4 linked regions of the Xenopus tropicalis genome follow. The protein of the gene in region 2 purifies or fractionates together with the protein of the main gene of each other region. This does not show direct contact. Links are inferred from orthologs where the notes say so. Each region holds a gene or a part of one and is shown on either strand. Other genes may lie near its edges.

Region 1 (3,173 bases), on a different chromosome or scaffold from region 2:
GAAAACTGTCTACTCTGTGCCCTAGTCGCCTGCTATAAATCTTCCCTACTGTGGGCAACTTATCTCATGTGACTGCTTTACGCTGGCATTAAAGTAAGCTGCCAGTAGGAAAACATACTCGATTTTATGAAGTTTAGTACAGGTATGGGATCCCTTATCCGGAAACCCATTATCCAGAAAGCTCCGAATTACGGAAAGCCTGTCTCCATAGACTCCATTTTAATCAAATAATTCAGAATTTTAAAACTGATTTCCTTTTTATCTGTAGTAATAAAACAGTACCTTGTAATTCATCCCAACTAAGATATAAATAATCTTTATTGGATTCAAAACAATCCTATTGGGTTTAATTAATGGTTTATTGATTTTTAGCAGACTAAGGGCTCTGGCACACGGGGAGATTAGTGCTAATGGGATGCTAGTTCGGGGAGATTAGTCGCCCGTGACAAGGGAGATTTGTCGCGGGCGACTAATCTCCCCAAACTAGCATCCCACTGGTGAAAATGTAAATCGCCGGTGGGATGGCACACGCTGCGCAGGCGATTTCAGCAAATTGCCAAAAATGCCTCGTGAGGCAACTTCGCGATTTGCCGAAATCACCTGCGCAGCGTGTGCCATCCCACCAGCGACTTAATGTATATACTCGAGTATAAGCCTAGTTTTTCAGCACCCGAAATGTGCTGAAATCTCCCCGTGTGCCAGAGCCCTTAAGGTATAGAGATCTAAATTATGGAAAGACCCCTTATCCGGAATACCCTTGGTCCCAAGCATTCTGGATAATGGGTCCTATACCTGTACTGTAAAGCATTCATAGATTAGTCGCCCGCAATGGAGGAGATTTATCGCGGGCCACTAATCATCTTGTGTACTGCCCAAGGGCAGTGACAGATGGGGAATTTTGTAGCCCACGATTAATATCGGCTGCAACTGGTAACAAAACATCCCTTCTTTCCTCTCGGCTAACATGCAAACATACACAATACAGGCAACTTTGCACTGTGTATGTTTCCCCAGCAGCAATACGTCGGTGGAGAGGAAAGAAGGGATGTTGATTGGCTTCATACTATGTTTACAAAAGCACCCTTTTGGACCCAGTATTCAGTAAGGCTAATACCAGATGGGGCTGATTCTTGGCCTGCGAATAAACATAGTCCAAGGATCAGGCCCTACGCTGGCAGCCTTTTCCTGTGCCTGTGTGCAGGCTTATGGAGCGGATTTTGGCTCTGGAAAGCATACTGACACAGGGAAAAGCTGCCAGTATAGGGGATGATTCTCTGCCTCTTAATAAATGGCATTTAAACTAACTCAGCTATAGTTAACATAAACAACTATACAAAACCTTCTTGCAAATTCTTCCATTTCCTGTTCCTATGCTGTATCCAAAAAGCATCCTGTCATACCTTTTTTTTTAGTTTAGGAACTTTAAGATCATATACCGCCGTTATGCTGGGCTGTATTTCTGTATATGCGTGGACGTGACAGATAATAACCTGGCTTATCTGGAAGCCATCCACAACTTTGTAGAGGTAAGTAGATGGTATAAACATGGACAGTGAGCTAAAACAAAATGAAATGGAAATAAAGAAACTTGGAGGGTTGGAGAGATCAAGGGTGAGAGGGTTATACTGACAGAACAATTAAATATTTGAGATTAAAAAAGATTATTCTAAAAGAGGTATGCCTTTTCTAATTAGCTTTTTCTAATCCCAAATTATTCATTGTTATGTCAGTATAACCCTCTCACCCTTTATCTCCCTGACCCTTCCAGTTTCAAACCCAGTCTACAGTTTCTACAAATAGTGATATTACTAATATGAGGGGCAGGGTGTTTTCACAACTCCAGTTTTTAATGAGGACCCAGCGTAAGCCTAACAGAGTCTACACAGTCTTGTGTGAACATCTAAATATGCTTTCAATAACTGTACAAGTATTCACTTTGGCAGACCAATGAAGTGCTGTTACTCATGCCATTATTGCTTAATTATTGATTTAAAAACACTTTTTTAGAAATGGGTAAATAAACAATGTGCTTTATAAATGATACAAATATAAATATATTCACTAATATATATGTCTAATTTGCTTTTTTTTTTTACTTTAGGTGTTAAATGAGTACTTCCATAATGTATGTGAATTAGATCTGGTGTTCAATTTCTACAAGGTAAGACTGCTCTTTCACATTCATTAGTAAATCTCACCCTTTTCCTATCAGTTGCTTCTCTCTCCAATGCCTTTTGTTTCTTTCTATTAAACTTTTGCTTTTTCATTTTAGGTGTACACAGTGGTGGATGAAATGTTTTTGGCTGGTGAAATTAGAGAAACAAGTCAGACAAAAGTTTTGAAGCAGCTGCTGATGCTCCAGTCCCTGGAGTGAGAGTGACTTCTGAGCTGCCATCCACCTAAACTCTCCAGCATCTTGTGTATATATAAATATATATATGTCTTCCCCTTTCAGTCTTGAATAACATTCCAAGCAGGAGCTAAACCTTCTTGCATTGCCCTCACTAATTACCTCTGTATTCTGTTTCAATTTATTCATTATTATGTGACCCATTACTGCCTCTAATCCATAACTCTATATCCTACCTGCCCCTGTCTCTTTTGTTTTCTCTTCTCAAACAAATGAAGTTTTTTAACTTTTAATGTGAAAACAATAAAATATTCTGTGTATAATGATGCTGTGGGAGAGAATTGGAGAAGGGATGATGTGCTGTAGTGAGCTGGTTGCAGATAAACTGGCCCCAAGTGAAGGGAGAGAATATAGTTAAAGTACTTTGTTAAGGAGGAACTTAAACACCTTGTGTGTACTGTAAATTAACAGCAGCTCTGTGCAGTTAAGTTTACATTCTCCTGATTTGGTAACATTTCATGTGCCCCCCCCTCCACTGGTGTCATGCACCAGCACAGTCAGAATGTGCAGCACCGGGAAATGTAATGGTGCTTCCCCAGTAACATATGGGTTGTGTGCTGCCTAAATGTGCTAACACACCTAGTGCTAATGATTTACAGAACTCAGTGGAATCTCAACAAAACACAAGTTAACCTGGTGTATACCAAGATCCTGTGCAAAGTAGAACAATCCATGGTGCAAATCCCATACTCCCCTTAAAGTTGTACTTGCCAGTATGGATTGAAATCTTCACAGAAGCAGCACATAATGGAGTTCTGCTAAT
Region 2 (2,967 bases):
AGGGGTGGAGGGGTTTGAGAAAAAAAGTTAACAATCATATATAGGTATGTATGAGCTTTTTCTTAAATGATAACAAATATCTCTTTTATCCCAAATTACCTGTTATCAACTTGATACCATTACAGTACAAGCCTCCAGATTCAGTGAAACACAATTGTTTTCTGTATGGTCTTGTGCAATTGATATTGCCAGTAAACCCCACCTCTAAAATGGAGGTATTGAGATATAGAATGCAGGCTAACAGCACACTGCACTTTTACAATAACCTGTCAAACTTTTGAGTCAACTCAATGGAGAATACTCTAATTTTACCAGTGTATGTTAACAAAGATGTCCATTAATATGCTTAATGCATAGTTACTGTGTAAGTAATATTTACAATTACAGCTATGAATTTGGTTAAAGCAAAACGAAAGGAATTCAGTGCATTGGAGTTATTCACATAGGCAAAGGACGTGACACAAATCAGCAAATAACAAATGGCTTGTTATACCTTCAGTGCACACTGACACCTGCTTCCACATTTTCATCCAGTGAACATAGTCTGCTTTTGCATTACGGACTGTGACTAAGGTTTGTTTTAAAAACTACCCTGTAATGTAAGATACACGCGATATGTTACAAACAATCCACAAAACTACTGTGTTACTCTTTCTTTTTAATTCAGCTTGATTCCCTTAGCCTGCTGACTCTTCATTCTTTCTCTAAGATCCAAACTTCTTGCTTAGAGTGCATTATTTATATGGCTATTCACCATGTTTGTTCATGAAGGCAAATGTCTGAGAGACGAGAGAAGAAAAGCCAGAAATCCAACAGGAGAAATATGAAGAATGTGTGCGTCACCCAGGAAACTGGAGAATATTTGAAGTTAGCCAGTAAATCTTTTGACAAGTGCAAGGCACTAAACTAAATATATATATATAATTATATAACTAAATATATATATATATATATATATATATATATATATATATATATATATATATATATATACACACATGCTATTTTTTAGGTGGCAAGATTTTTTTTCTGGCCATAATATAGATATTTTTTGTTACTATTTACATGTGTAATTGATTCAGTAAGGCTAGATCAATGTGTCTGCTACAAACATTTTTCCTATCCATGTATTGCTTGTTTGTCTTTGGGCTGAATTACTAACATAGCTGCTAAGTATTTTCTTATTATTCCAACAAATGTATGGGGTGCCACAGGGAGCTACATTAGTGCAATATAGCACCTATATTAGTAAAGCAGCCCTATTGAATTTGGCTAACCAGATAAAATAGAATTTTACCCTTCTTGCAAAAATAGAGTAATGTATGAGGCTATAGCCTGTGTTGTGCATATGATATTCCATGGATATGTTTGCATTTATACATATGAGAGCTACCATATTGCTGTTAGGGAACAATAGGGTGCAGTATGAAAGCTCCCGCTGATGAAAAACATTGTAGGCATACAGTTTGTTCCTTCATAATTTCTACATAGTTTTTTTTATTTCCCATAACCAGACAAGCATGAATAGGCCATGTAGGCCATTGTGTAAGCCATTGTTTCAGCACACTTTTTAACACCTAGTATTTAAAATGAGGAGGGAGTTTCAAATGTTGCTTTGGAAACTTAATAACATAACATAAATTCTAGAAAATAAAGTGAAAGTATAAAATAGACTCTGTGATTTTTCAGGTAAGGAAAAAGCATTTTATTTGGCAGGTGAGCAACAATGTCAGTTGTGCATTTGCTGATGGACCACAAAGGTGAAGTTACTGATTCCTCCTCCATTTTTCTGTCCCACAGTTTGGGAACGAGGAGCAACAGCTTGCTTGGGCAAAACGCGAGAGCCAGCGGGCTGAGAAGGAAAGACTAGACCGTTTAAAACGTCAGGAGCAGGAAGACCTGGAGCTAGCGATTGCCCTCAGCAAAGCAGAGATGCCGAGTTCCTGATAGTCGCACTCTCCTGGTCTTCCCCATCCTGTGCCCGCAGGATTATATGCCAACGCTATTGCAACCGACACCAACTCTGCATTCAGGACAGAGGTGGACAGGAAGCCGAATGACTTCATCCTAAACTAGCGGTCTTTATTTCTGAACTACTAGCCAGTCACGGGGAAGCTGTGGCCATGACATCACCATAAAATGACCCCAATGGAACTGCTTGATGGGAATATTCACCTGCACATATATTCTAAGCAAAGGAACTGCTATCCAGTCATCTCTTGTTTTATTTTATTTTTCTATATCAGGGAAATATTTTTTTTTAATCATCCTTGCTATCCCCTTTACATTTCATCTGATGCCCTGTTTGAATTTTACACCAAGTAAGCATTTGCTTTTATTTGTATGATAAGCTGTTATGGCCTGCATGGAATGACTGGGCTGTTTGGAGTGAATGTAAGATGTTCAGTTGATCCAAAACCCTATGCCTACATTAAAAACAATTTTTACAGGTACCATCCCGCAGAAATTGGCTTATGCAAATGAAATTTCATTAATCTTTGGATTTTTTTAAAATTTGCATTTCTTTTAAGAGATTCTTATTATTCTGATTTTAACTTACTGCAAAAGGCAACAGTGGGGAAAGAAAATCACTATCACTTTCCTCTGTTTTGGTTTCAGAAGACATGAAACCTTCACTGCAAAATACGAGCGTTATTGGAATGTTTGCATTCATTCTTGAGTGGTGCAGAGTGGAGATCATGCTACATTTGAGTGGATAAAATGTTTCAATTAATACTTATTCTTAACAATTGTTAAGCATAGGATTGTTAACCAAACATGAAGTTTAGCAGGTTTTAAAGCCAAAATCATACCAAATGGCATATTTTTGTGATTATTTCAAATGAGACCCATAACTTTAAATCTTATTCTGCCAGGCAGAATAAGCTGTCAGTGTAGTTGGTTTAAGTAGAGGGCATGAAGGATGTCAGCACTGAAGTCATGTAATACAAATGAAGGTTTGAAACC
Region 3 (3,500 bases), on a different chromosome or scaffold from region 2:
AGGGTAGCAAATCCTCAGGTGATCACTTCTGCTTCCATCGGAAAGGTGTCGGTGTTGCTTTAAATAGGATAAATACCCCAAACTCCATGTTTCCAATGAAAACACCCCAAGGATTCCCCCCCAAAGCCCCTTACCCAAGTAGGCCTTCTCTCTCTTCTTCTTCTCCGTCTCTATGTACAACTCCGATGCCGCTTTGATTTTCTGCACCCAGGCCGTCCTATAGAATATGGCATTTACACAATGATCCTTTATTCATACAGCAGTTACTACAGTTATGGAAAGACTATTTATATTTTCATTTTGGTGCTGTTATTTACAATACATATTTGTGTAATTCCCTTTTACTGCAGGATAAGTGCCCAGTGCAAAGCAGAACTGGTTCTAATGGAACACTGCGGGGTTACCCAGTATGTATTGTGTATAAAGGGTGTGGCTACCTAGGCAAGGGGAGGAGTCTCTGACCTCTCATTGATGCTCTCTGCACGCAATGTGTAGACTCGGTCAATGTGAGAAATATGAAAGATTGGCTCATCCCCGGATGGGTCCGTGGGCAGTTTCACCAGCACTTCGTTGAGGAATATTGGCTGAAACACAGGATTTCATGCATAAACATCAACTTTAAATATGAGGTCCCAGCACTGGGCCTAAAGCTGGGAGATCGGATAAAAACATCAATGGTGATGTTGCCCATAGCAACCAATAAGCGATTGGATTGGAATGGTCACCTACAAGTTTTAAAACAAAAGCAAAGATCTGATTGGTTGCTATGGGCAACATCACCGGTGATGGTGGTCTCCAATGTTAGGAAATACCCCCCACTGTGCCACTGTGCCACTGTGCAGTATTAGTCACAAGGCTACTCACAGTTTTGTACATCTTGTACTGGAGATTGGACTTGGGGCTGAACACCTTATCGTTGCCGGAGGAGCCGAGGGGCTTAATGATCTGGGTGAGCAGCAGGAAGTCGTTGAACAGGAAGCCGTATAGTTCCTTGTTGCTCTTGGCTTTGTACAGTTTCCCACTGTGCAGGAACTTGCGTGGGCCCAGGCAGTTTGTAACAGAGTTAAATACTAATTGCTGGAGAAAAAGGGGGAGGAAATTATTATGTAGGGAGATGCTGAATGTGCAGGAATCCTTACTACTTTGCCTTTATACCTGCAACCTGGTGGGTCTCACTGGGCAATGAGTGGGTCACACTCCCAGGATTCCCTGCTGCCTTAGTACTTCAGCCAATCCCAATGTTATCAGCTCAAGGCCCCCAGTCTGGCACACAGGAAATACCTCACTTTGTGGCATACCAAGACACAGAGTCCTATAGCTAATTACTGTACAGAGCTGATATGGGCCCATTAGCTGGGTACTGTACAGAGCTGATATGGGCCCATTAGCTGAGTACTGTACAGAGCTGATATGGGCCCATTAGCTGAGTACTGTACAGAGCTGATATGGGCCCATTAGCTGGGTACTGTACAGAGCTGATATGGGCCCATTAGCTGAGTACTGTACAGAGCACTGATATGGGCCCATTAGCTGGGTACTGTACAGAGCTGATATGGGCCCATTAGCTGAGTACTGTACAGAGCACTGATATGGGCCCATTAGCTGGGTACTGTACAGAGCTGATATGGGCCCATTAGCTGGGTACTGTACAGAGCTGATATGGGCCCATTAGCTGGGTACTGTACAGAGCTGATATGGGCCCATTAGCTGAGTACTGTACAGAGCTGATATGGGCCCATTAGCTGAGTACTGTACAGAGCTGATATGGGCCCATTAGCTGGGTACTGTACAGAGCTGATATGGGCCCATTAGCTGGGTACTGTACAGAGCTGATATGGGCCCATTAGCTGGGTACTGTACAGAGCTGATATGGGCCCATTAGCTGAGTACTGTACAGAGCTGATATGGGCCCATTAGCTGGGTACTGTACAGAGCTGATATGGGCCCATTAGCTGAGTACTGTACAGAGCTGATATGGGCCCATTAGCTGAGTACTGTACAGAGATGATATGGGCCCATTAGCTGAGTACTGTACAGAGCTGATATGGGCCCATTAGCTGAGTACTGTACAGAGCTGATATGGGCCCATTAGCTGAGTACTGTACAGAGCACCTGGGCCCGTTAGGCTCCCTACCCGGCCGGCTGGACTACAGGACGTACCTCAGACAAACCCTCACACTGAACGTGCGCCTGAATCCACTCCAGTCGGTCTGAGTTTTCCTTCTCCCGAACCCCCTCATTCACTTGGGAACATAATTCTTCGGCTTTCTCTAGGGCTTGCTTCAGGTGGCTGTGGTCAGGGTGATTTTCTGGAGTATTTTCAATAATCTGCAAAACAGAAAATTAATACATATCATAAGTACAGATTATTAATCAAGGCTTCAGCCCATTATCAGTAATGAGTTGCGCTGGTGCTTATAATGCTAATGTGCTGCCGTACAGAAGGTACAGTTGGGGGGTACAGCGGGGGGCACAGCGGGGGGCACTTACACATACAGATCTGATGTTACAGATAGAAGCTAAAGTTTGGGGCACATTTAGAAAAACAAAAGGTTCCATACATTTTTAATGATGAGCGGGTATCTGGTTACTCTCTGCATGGGTTTGAGTAGGAAGCTGGACAGCGGCATTCCCTTACACCGGGGATCCATTGCAAGCCTCTGAAATGACAAGATTAAATGCATTTATATGTAACAGTCAAAAACATTTGTACAAAGGGGCAATATCCCTGCAGCGACCTCTACAGCCTAAAACATTGGTTTCTGGGTGTCTATGGTTGATGCCCTGTTTTGAGGCCCAACATTTGCTCTGGGGTTTCTCCCAACAAGGTTCCCAACATGACACCAGTGATCACACAGGAGTCCAAGGACTCAGTTAGTGGTTGTTATTTTACAAATTTATCCATGGGTGTGGGGAAGGGGGGGCTCTCTAATTTGTTCCCAGGACTTTAGGGTAGGTCTGAGATTTCCAGTTCATAGATATGGTCTGCTTTGCATACAGGCACAGTATAGATAATAGAGTCTGATGTGCCCTTTTGGGGCAAAATGTCTTTCATCTGGTACCATGGGGTCTATTGGTAAGGATAGATCTGTCTTAATATTGATCCGGTCTAGTAACTGAATTTATGGGCAAGACGATTCCATGTGTATAAATTCCGCTGAGGAGCATTAACATTGTGGACATTCTGGACTTAGTTCTGTGTTCATTCTGCATCACACTGGGTTTATAGAAGTATAAGAAAGCTAATAGGCATTCCCCCCAAAACTCATCTACCTGCCCTCAGGCCAGGCCCGGACTGGAAATCTGTAGGTTCAGGCAAATGCCAGAGGGGCTGCTGTAAGATTCCATAGACACTCACTATTTATTGAGCCGGGGGGGGGGGGGTGTGGTTTGTGCCTCTGTGTACTGGGAATGCCAGGGCCTATTTGGAATCCCAGTCCAGACCTGCTTCAGGCAGGGCCCACCGATTCCAAACTGGGGGTCCAGCTGAAGAGTTTGGA
Region 4 (3,500 bases), on a different chromosome or scaffold from region 2:
ATGGAAAGTGAAATTGCCTGCCCTACCTGTTTGCCTGAGGTGTAGAGGTGGCGCAGGCAATATATGACTGACAGCTGAGATTTAAAAAAAATAAATAAATAAAAAAAATTGGGTTTCATATTTAATTTAAAAATAACTTTTCTACAGTTTTTTATGTCTGGATGATAGGCCCCCTTAATTATGTTACAACTTGGGAGAACATTTATTTTTTGCCCTAGATAGTCATATGAACTATGGCTGAAGCCAAGAGGGATGCCTGACCAAATTCAGGACGTCAAATGGAAACAAACAACCACTGCCTTATGTTGTGGCTTTAGTAACCAAAATTATATTAATATATGTGCCTTATATTGCATTATGTGCTGAGTAAGACCCTCTTTTATAAGAAGCAGTTTAAGGGGCAGATTTATTAAAATGAGAAATTAGAGCTCACCACAACAAAATCAACCCCCCTCTATTCATTTCTATGATATTTTTAGAAGTGTATTTATTCAATGGGTGAAAGTTAAAGTTCCCCATTTAATAAATAAGCTTCTAAAAATCCCATAGGAATGAATAGAAAGTGGGTGACTTTTTCTGTGGGGAGCTCTAATCTCACATTTTGATAAATCTGCCCCTAAGATCCCCATTCCTTGCCTACATTGATTTGCTGGGCATATTTTCCACTTTACCCAACACTCATAGGATTCCGCAGACCATATTATTTTACCTTCTCTCCCTCGCTCAGAGCTGGCGTTCCTGCCTCCAATATTCTTCAGCTTGTCAGCAAACTTCTCATCCAGGCTAAGTTTGGAGATTCGCTTCTCAGAATCTTTACGGCCAGCACTTTCCTTACGTCTTCTCTCCTCATCCTCTGCCTTGCTTTTTTCCTCCAGGTCCTTCTTCAGCTGGGCCTGCCTGCGTTTTTCCTCTTCCTGCTGCTTCTTTCTCTGTTCTTCTTCCCTCTCGGCCTGCCTTTTCTTCTCTTCTGCCAGTCTTTGCTGGGCTTCCCTCTGCCGTGCTGTCGCTTCCTCCTCTGCTTTTTGCTTTTCCAGAAGCTTCTGTTCTCTTCTTCTCTCATCCTCTAAGCGCTGCTGCTTCTCCTCTTCTTCTTTTTTAAGATTTTCCAGCCAGAGGTTTTCTTTCTCTTGCTTGGCTCTCCTGGGGGAAGGGGAGATAATGGCAGAAGCAACAGGAATTAGGCAAATCGATGTGAGACATGGTCATTCAGGGTTAGCGAATGGCAATATTACATACACAGTTTGGATATAACCTGGGTTAGCCAATAAGAGGTGACAAGGAATCTTAGAATCTTAAGACTGCTAAAGGTCATAGAATTTCATGAAAATAGGAACTGGAAATACCCTTCCTAAAGATAGCACAGCCCCAGGTGGCCATACACCATAAGATTCCCTCATTTGGTGAGGCCGCCAAAGGAGGAGATCTTTCCACTGATATGCCCACCTATGGGGGGGGATACCGGAGTAATGCAATTAAATGACCCTTGGGCCAAATGATCAAATCATAATGACGGGAATAAGACACGTCGGAGTGAGGACCATATAATGAGCAGATGTGATCCTCGATGACACGGAAAAATCAAACCTGCCCGATTGATATCTGTCAAATCTTAGGCCAGATATCAGTCGGGCAGGCCCATCTAGGGTGCCTATAAACTGCTGAATCGGGCTGAAGGACCCGAATCAGCAGCTTAAATCTGCTCGTGTATGGCCACCTTTAGCGCTAAGAATACATAGTGAAACCCTTAAGCAGACCTTGCACTAGCCATTTATGACGCCCCCAGTTTTATTCCATGATAATCTCATGGTAAACAACCTGTTCTGCAGCAAAGTTGATTCATTACCTTGCAGCCTCCTCTTCCTCCTGCTTCTTCTGTGCCTGCTCGGCTCGTTTCTGCTCAGCTTCCCTCAGTTTTTCCTGTTTGATCTTCTGCAGCTGATGTAAGGCAGACTGTTGCTTACTGTAGCTCCCTCTCAGCTCCTGGGCAAGACACAGCACACATCACACAGTCAGTAAAGGGAGTGGAGCAGCAGGCACGAAGCAATGCACCATAATACAGCGAGGAGCTATGGTATCATCGGCACATGCATGGACTTGTGAAGATCTGAAGCCCAACAAAGATGGCGGCACAATATGGAGAAACAAGGGAATTGTGGGCATTCCTGATAATTTGCAGCACAAAAACAATGGGTTTGACAGATTACGAAATGTGATAAAACCTGAAACCGTACTGCAAGATCCTGGGGCCAGGGCCCTCACAGGCTATTGTGTTGCTATGTGTGTGCATTCCCCAGTCACTGCTGAAATAACTGCGGCATTAATAGGATAGTTCATGTTTAAATGAACTTTAAGTATAATGAAGACATTGATAATCCAAGACAATTTGCAATCGCTCTTTATTTTATTTTTTATATGTTATGGTTTTTCAGCAATTTTGTGTTTGTTCAGCAGCTTTTCAGTTTGGTATTTCAGCTGCTAACTGGTTGCTAATTACACTAGCAACCAGGCAATGGTTTAAATGAGAGAAGGGCATAAATAGGAAAGGGTATGAAGATATACAAGTAATAAAAAGTTACAATAACAATAAAACTCTAGCCTCAGAGAGGAAGTTTTTTTTGGCTGCCGGGGTCAGTGACCCCCATTTACAAGCTGGAAATAATCAAAAGTGAAAGGCAAATAATTTAAAAACTATAAAAATAATGAACACTTGCAAAGCTTGCTATTCCATAAATGACAAAGTTAATTTAAAGGTAAACCACCTCTTTCATGTAAGCTTGAAATCTGCTGAATGAGGCATAAGCATTGGCTAAAAGGCTGATTCTGTGTATGTTCATATTTATGCACATAGCAGCACTACACAGTACCCCATATGCTCCCTGATGCAGGGAGAGAGCTGCAAAGGAATTGTGTACTTGGGAACACATACGGTAGCTATAGGCAAAAACACAACACAACACCAAGATGTGTACAGTATATGGAATCAAAGTACTATGAAGACATCCTACAAACAGAAGGCGACCATTGTTCTTCCCCAGTGCAGACATGGATGAGTCCAATCAGACACAGGGATGGCATGAATAAAGATGCCCATACACTGGCCTTGACAAACCCAATATCCATAGCCCAAAGATACCGGTAGGGATAGTCTACCCAACACAGAAATATCTTATTGGTAACTGTATGGCCAGTCTAACAGGCTATTTTACTAATCATACAATCAGAAAACCAAACTAAATAAAATATGAAGGGTAAACTGCTCCCAGCATTGGCATAGGATCATTATCAATCAGCTTCTGGGATATCATTTGTATCCTGCAGTCATTGCTGTTATATAGATTTTTACCTATTTTTTATAACAAATTCTTGAGTTATAAGGAATTTAATTGATGTCAAAGAGGAAAATGGAACCTTTGCAGAACAGCAAGTCTCATATGCACAACTCACCCCACAGGTAGCACTGGCACAGATTTCACTGGTCCCCCAAAACAACTTGGATTCAA

What was found. Proteins that work in one complex are often made in the same cells at the same time.
Region 1: the proteins of eps15l1 (region 2) and ap2s1 purify together in Homo sapiens (affinity purification with mass spectrometry; 4 studies listed by BioGRID and IntAct, counting the BioPlex papers as one, with this or other methods). This does not show direct contact. The link is inferred for Xenopus tropicalis from reciprocal best matches to the Homo sapiens genes EPS15L1 and AP2S1.
Region 3: the proteins of eps15l1 (region 2) and itsn1 purify together in Homo sapiens (affinity purification with mass spectrometry; 4 studies listed by BioGRID and IntAct, with this or other methods). This does not show direct contact. The link is inferred for Xenopus tropicalis from reciprocal best matches to the Homo sapiens genes EPS15L1 and ITSN1.
Region 4: the proteins of eps15l1 (region 2) and itsn2 purify together in Homo sapiens (affinity purification with mass spectrometry; 5 studies listed by BioGRID and IntAct, with this or other methods). This does not show direct contact. The link is inferred for Xenopus tropicalis from reciprocal best matches to the Homo sapiens genes EPS15L1 and ITSN2.

The regions. Positions count from the first base shown.
Region 1 is NC_030684.2:70,196,750-70,199,922, forward strand, and holds the end of ap2s1 (AP-2 complex subunit sigma), read left to right. Parts: intron 1-1,412; coding exon 1,413-1,526; intron 1,527-2,101; coding exon 2,102-2,161; intron 2,162-2,272; coding exon 2,273-2,374; 3' UTR 2,375-2,673; downstream 2,674-3,173. UniProt on the Homo sapiens protein: Component of the adaptor protein complex 2 (AP-2). Adaptor protein complexes function in protein transport via transport vesicles in different membrane traffic pathways.
Region 2 is NC_030677.2:112,411,776-112,414,742, forward strand, and holds the end of eps15l1 (epidermal growth factor receptor substrate 15-like 1), read left to right. Parts: intron 1-1,800; coding exon 1,801-1,947; 3' UTR 1,948-2,467; downstream 2,468-2,967.
Region 3 is NC_030678.2:14,215,870-14,219,369, reverse strand, and holds part of itsn1 (intersectin-1), read right to left. Parts: intron 2,661-3,500; coding exon 2,562-2,660; intron 2,329-2,561; coding exon 2,161-2,328; intron 1,078-2,160; coding exon 865-1,077; intron 585-864; coding exon 463-584; intron 218-462; coding exon 135-217; intron 1-134. UniProt on the Homo sapiens protein: Adapter protein that provides a link between the endocytic membrane traffic and the actin assembly machinery. Acts as a guanine nucleotide exchange factor (GEF) for CDC42, and thereby stimulates actin nucleation mediated by WASL and the ARP2/3 complex.
Region 4 is NC_030681.2:145,787,835-145,791,334, forward strand, and holds part of itsn2 (intersectin-2), read right to left. Parts: intron 1,981-3,500; coding exon 1,844-1,980; intron 1,141-1,843; coding exon 710-1,140; intron 1-709.